Callithrix jacchus: one gene and its partner. The protein of the gene in region 1 interacts with the protein of each later gene in a pairwise test. Links are inferred from orthologs where the notes say so. Each region holds a gene or a part of one and is shown on either strand. Other genes may lie near its edges. The genes, in order: AKAP7 and SPA17.

Region 1 (3,469 bases):
AGAATAGTTGGGTATCAGCTCTTTGAGAGTAAAATGAAAGATGAAATAATTAGACTTGGATCATCATGATCAGCAAAGTAAAATAACCACAAAACATTTACATCTAGTAATTTACCATCATAATCATAATTTTTCTTTGAAGAATTTCCTATTTCTTCAATAGCAGTGATAGCACTGACATCAAAAAAATACTAGCCTTATAAGCTTATTTTAAACCAGTTCCTAATGGTAGTAACTGCCTTTCTCTTCATGGCATTGCTGAGCATTGATTAACAACCAAGCTATAGGCCACGCATTTTTAAATTAGTGATCTTAAGTAATGAGATCGTAGGGAAATCTCGATCTGATATTTGATATTGGAGAATCAGAAGAGGTCATAGATATACTTAGTGAATTCACATGTCTGAGGCTCCACGTGGTGGGGACGTGGACATTAGTAGTAGTAATTAGCCTTGGATGAGACAAGAACCGAAATTCACATATAAATGGGAAACAGCCAGCGCTGCTAGGTAGAGCTTGTCTAGATTGGGACTAATGAACTACTTTTCAATCTGAAGGCGTCAGGAATAGACAGGCTCCTACTTCCGCAAATACCAAATGAAAAGCCAACCCACTGTTCTTGAATTTATAGATCCAATTTACACTTGCTCTTTTTAACTAATGGAACTAGCCGGCCCCTGCATGCCAAGTTTCTATGGCAATGTGATCTCAGTGACCTCTCTTCTCTATTGTGGAATGTAGGTGAAAAGAACGGAGGGGAGCCTGATGATGCTGAACTGGTAAGGCTCAGTAAGAGGCTGGTGGAGAACGCGGTGCTCAAGGCTGTCCAGCAGTATCTGGAGGAGACACAGAATAAAAACAAGCCGGGGGAGGGGAGCTCTGTGAAAACTGAAGCAGCTGATCGGAATGGCAATGACAATGAGAACAACAGGAAATGAGGCCTGAACACAGGTCCTCAAGTCTGTGTAAAGCATCCCTGCTCCCCTCTGCTGAGTCTAGGGACTGACTTGCAGCGTGCTGTTTAAGTTTCTCTGGTTCAGTCTGTGGAGATTGCCTAATACTTTCATGATCGATGTGATGGCGTTTCTGAAACACAACAAGAAAAATGGAGTGCTGGGACTGGCAAAGGAAATTAATTTATGAAAGAAGAATGGCCCAAGTTTCACTCGCCCTCAGCCATGCACAAGGGAGAGAGAACTTTGGGTTATGCCTCCTGGACACAAATTACAGGCCGCGAAAGAGGCCTTGCCATCAATGGAATACTGCCATTTATATTGCTTAGCAGGGCATTTGACTACTTTATCTGAGGCCAGAACTCTCACACACAGCTATCAAGTGCTAAGTTTAAAATAATCACTGTTGAAATTGTCATCTGTACAATTAGTCCATAATGTTTCATGTCTGTCCTAAGTGTGCTGTTGCTATGCAGTGATCTTTATTTATAGTAAATTATGTTTCATGTAAATGATATATTTTGGTGAAATGCAACCTTTTCTATAAAATGTGGGCAACATTTTAAAGTTTTTTTAAAATCCTATTTTGATAAGTCAGTATGCCATATTTAATGAAATGTATTATATAATTTTTTTTCTTAGGCAAGAAACCTATTGGAATTCAAGAATTAATTAATGAAGCTTTGCATCGAGAAATGATGGGTCTGAAGTCCAAAGTGAAACAGATAAAGGAACTTTTATTAAAGCCTGAGATTCAGGCCAAAATTAGGAGGGAGCTTTTTGAAGGAAGACTTATTAATAACAGTAATCCAGCAAATGATGTTATTTTTGGCACAACTTTGACATAAGCTCTACATTGCAATTGTGGCAACATAGCCCCTGAAATCTTTCCAGCTTACCAAGTAGCTCTTTGGTATACACCAAAGAAGTTTCTGATAGTGTCTGCACAACAGCAAACCAACATTTGGTAAGGAATTAGCAATTTCTTGCCAAAGAAAACTCATTCTGCCCTGTTATTTTTTGAGCTAAACTTGTGTTTTAGAATGTCTGTTTCTGTGATATTGAGAGTTATTTTATAAAAATGATTTCTTAATTAGCCGTTGTGAGATATTTCTTGGGTCCTTGCAGAAGAAAATACAGACTGTGAAGAAACCATTCACAGACAAATAGAACAAAACAGAGCCAACAACAGTATTTGAAGGGTCACTTGCCTCCTGTTGACATGATTGTTGCTAAATCAAAAGAAGCATTGTCCAGGTGTGTCTATATCTAGTGTTACTTTTAATGAGAATTTGAATGTTTATTGAACAATAGTACTTGAACGAACATTTATAAATGTAATTATTGCGATCACTGGTTAAGAATGTTTTATATATCCTTATAATATTTTTCACTGATCAAAATGTAGTTTGCTTTTTCATTTCTTAAGGAATTCATGTTTGGGATTTTTATTTTTTACATTTTCGAAGATAAGCTCCAGGACTTATCAGATCCCTTGTAATCTGAATGTGTTTGCACTGGTTCGGTTTTAAAGAGCATTCTGGAAAACCTTTCCCTGCTATGGTGATTGTTGGTAACAGCTTTTTCTATAGTCATTGTAAAATGGCTGCTACCAATAGATCATGATAGAGGGAAATCACTGGAGATCAAATGTGTAAAATCATTTCAAATATAAAATCCAATTTACTCATGGATTTTAGCTATTTTTTCACTGAGTAAATTATACTACATTTATTTACAAATGAGTTTATGCATTTTCCTGGCTCTTAATAAACATACTGTTTTCCCTTGCCTTTTCTCATCTCTTCACTGTTGGGAGTAGCTGGATCTATGTTGGCATAAGGAAGTTATCAACAGGAGCTCTGACAGCTTCGGTGTTGCTTCACCTTTCTGTTCCTGTCCTTCATGCTGAGGTCGCACAGTGGTCAAAGCACCATCAACTTCATGCTTTAAAATCGTATCAAATCAGTCAGCTTCACCGAGAATTAACAGCAGAACCTTAAATTCAAAGAAAATCTAAATTCTCAGCTTCACCGAGAATTAAACAGCTAAGAATGTGCCAGTGATGTGACATCCTAGCAAAGATGAAAAGTGGAGATCCATCCAGGTGCAGAATCCTGCAGCTGTTTGCTGTGAAACCCCTTTCAGTGGTAGAGGGCTTGACTGTTTGTAGATGGGTTCTTTAAGTAAATCCTTAAGGTGGAAAGCAAAGATAGTTTTGGCCTTGCCTTGTGTTTCAAAGAAGGGAACAGACTCCAAGAGGTGGCACACCTTATCCAAGGCCTCACTGCTGCTGGAGAACTGGACCTGAACTGTCACCCAGGACTCTGTGCCAATGCCCCGGTGTTATCCTCACCACCCCATAGTGTAAGTTAATGGTGTTTCTGCAGAGAGCACTTTTCAGCATGTATCTACAAATATCCTCTGGGAGCGATTCCCAATCCAACTAGATAATTTGAAAGGCTAAAATAGTATACTTTTTGAGTCTGGGGTTACATGTCTTATTGTTACTTTAG
Region 2 (2,740 bases), on another chromosome or scaffold:
TTCTAAAGGTTTTATTTGATTAGATTACATATTCTTAAATTTCAGTTTCATGGGTTAAAGAAACTCTTTCAATAGGTGTGAATTGGCAATGCCTTTAGTTTGGGGAGGAAGACTTAACCATTTCAAAATAGGCAGAGGTGGTTTCTCCTTTTATATTTAAATCATAAAGCAAAACGCCACAGCAAAACTTGCTTCTTTTACTAGTTTTAATTCATAAACCTCACTCAAAATTCAACTTGACGCCACACTATAGAAGACAATGCCATTTATTTTATTCCTATTTTAGAAACTATTGGAATCTCTCTTTTATACTTTGTTCAGGATTCATTATAGCATCTTATCAACTTTTAGTATAGGACAGTGGTTTACTTTGAACATAAAACAGTGGTACACACATTCCAAAAGCAACAGATCAAATGTTTTGCCAATTATTTGGTCTTTAATATTTGTTTACACATATTCCCTTAAGAGCTTTAATTATTTATTCTTGTTTTAATGTATTTTCCTTATTAAAGATAAATATGTAGTATTTAATTCCCTCTAATTCTCAGTAATTTAAAGTAATTTTAATTACTTCTAAACAGTTTTATACAAGACTTTGCTAGTTTGGAAACATTGCTAATTTCGCTCTCTCCTATCTGTCCAGAAGCAAGAACCACCTGAGAAATGTGATCCTAAGCAAGAAAAGTCTCAGATATCTGCGAAGGAGGAAGAAACACCAGTCACCATCTTAGTATGTAATATTTTTAATGTACTATTGAAGAATGATATTGCCAAATTTAAAATTGAACTCCAATGAATGTCTGTTATCTTTATCGTCAAAATTATGATTTTTACCTTCCAGATAATTAACATCAAGATAAATTCCAGATAAAGATTAACATCAAGATAATATCTTGATTAAATTAAATACTAAATATGTAGTATTTAATTCCCTCTATTTCTCAGTAATTTAAAGTAATTTTTAATTACTTCTAAACAGTTTTATACAAGACTTTGCTAGTTTGGAAACATTGCTAATTTCGCTCTCTCCTATCTGTCCAGAAGCAAGAACCACCTGAGAAATGTGATCCTAAACAAGAAAAGTCTCAGATATCTGGGACGGAGGAAGAAACACCAGTCACCATCTTAGTATGTAATATTTTTAATGTACTATTGAAGAATGATATTTTCATGTACAAAGAATGATATTGCCGAATTTAAAATTGAACTCCAGTGAATGTCTGTTATCTTTATTGTCAAAATTATGATTTTTACCTTCCAGATAATTAACATCAAGATAAATTCCAGATAAAGATTAACATCAAGATAATATCTTGATTAAATTAAATACTAAATATGTAGTATTTAATTCCCTCTATTTCTCAGTAATTTAAAGTAATTTTTAATTACTTCTAAACAAGACTTTGCTAGTTTGGAAACATGGCTAATTTCGCTCTCTCCTATCTGTCCAGAAGCAAGAACCACCTGAGAAATGTGATCCTAAACAAGAAAAGTCTCAGATATCTGGGAAGGAGGAAGAAACACCAGTCACCATCTTAGTATGTAATATTTTAATGTACAGATAAAATAACTGGTAGATCATTTTCAGCCATGCCTCTTATGATCAAAAACTCATTTTTCCCTTAAAAATAAAATCTTATTTTTCAAGAGTGTTAATGGATGGAAAATCTCCCTCTGGGGAAGGGCAGACAGAACTCACAGCCCCAGTTGTGATCCTTCAGATTCATCTTCCACTTTGGGAATTTTTCACTAACTGATGCTGTCACCACTACACAATAGCAAACATTCAGAGATAACAAAAGAAAAATCACAGGGAATTACATAAAGCCAAAATAATGGCTTCACAGCAATATGGCTTATTCATCTTCGACGCATAACCCCCTACAAAAATGCCTCTGTGCCTGATGTACTACATCCAAGCAGTCAAGACATAGAGAGGTCCACCCTCAAAGATACCTATATTCAGTGGTGTGCTAGAGCCAGCTCTCAAGAGACAATTGTGCACATTTCTACCCAGGCTCATGTTCAGTAATGTCACTTTAATAACTTGAATCATCCACAATGAGAATTTTAAGACCATGGCAAACACTGCAAATCTGGGCTTTGTTTTTTTCTGGAGAGCCAGTTGTTAAAACACTTACCAGTACATGATTGTTTATATTCTTCATAGTCCAGACTCTTGTGGACTAGGCCTCATAAGAAAGAAGAACTCACTCTACAATGTCGAAGTTCAAACTTCTGAGTTCTTTTTTATGTCTCAGGTCCCAGGTAGTTGCCCAGTAACTGGCACCCAGAATGGATATCTCCTCAAGGAATACCCTACCTCCTACCTAGTAATGTGTGACTTTTCCCTATAAGATGTACAGGTTATTCCAGAATTATATCAATACAACCCAATAAGCCTAACACTAAGATGTAACAGGACGTCAAGGAAGAAGGGAGTTTTATTTCCTTACATCTTTCATAGCTGCTCTTACACAGGTTTTCATGAGTTTGAATAGGGATCTCATTGATTTCCAACTGGACTGTTTTCATTTGCCTGTATTAGGATGTCATCTCAAAGAATTTAGTACCATTCTGTTTGCATTTAAAAGTTTGAGCTAGATTTGTCTTACTATTTATAATGGGGGGCTGGGAGCTTGAGCAACCCAAAGGCCCATTAATATGAGATTGAGTAAATATTAAATAAAAGTACATCAGTATAATATAATACAATGATGTCATAAAAAAGAAGAAT

The links.
Region 2: the proteins of AKAP7 (region 1) and SPA17 interact in a two-hybrid assay, tested with the Homo sapiens proteins (3 studies listed by BioGRID and IntAct). The two-hybrid records come from large-scale screens. The link is inferred for Callithrix jacchus from reciprocal best matches to the Homo sapiens genes AKAP7 and SPA17.

Annotation. Positions count from the first base shown.
Region 1 is NC_133505.1:137,944,764-137,948,232, forward strand, and holds the end of AKAP7 (A-kinase anchoring protein 7), read left to right. Parts: intron 1-741; coding exon of another isoform or gene 742-938; exon of another isoform or gene 939-1,595; coding exon 1,596-1,801; 3' UTR 1,802-2,745; downstream 2,746-3,469. UniProt on the Homo sapiens protein: Probably targets cAMP-dependent protein kinase (PKA) to the cellular membrane or cytoskeletal structures.
Region 2 is NC_133511.1:24,277,147-24,279,886, forward strand, and holds part of SPA17 (sperm surface protein Sp17), read left to right. Parts: intron 1-646; coding exon 647-733; intron 734-1,044; coding exon 1,045-1,131; intron 1,132-1,454; coding exon 1,455-1,541; intron 1,542-2,740. UniProt on the Homo sapiens protein: Sperm surface zona pellucida binding protein. Helps to bind spermatozoa to the zona pellucida with high affinity. Might function in binding zona pellucida and carbohydrates.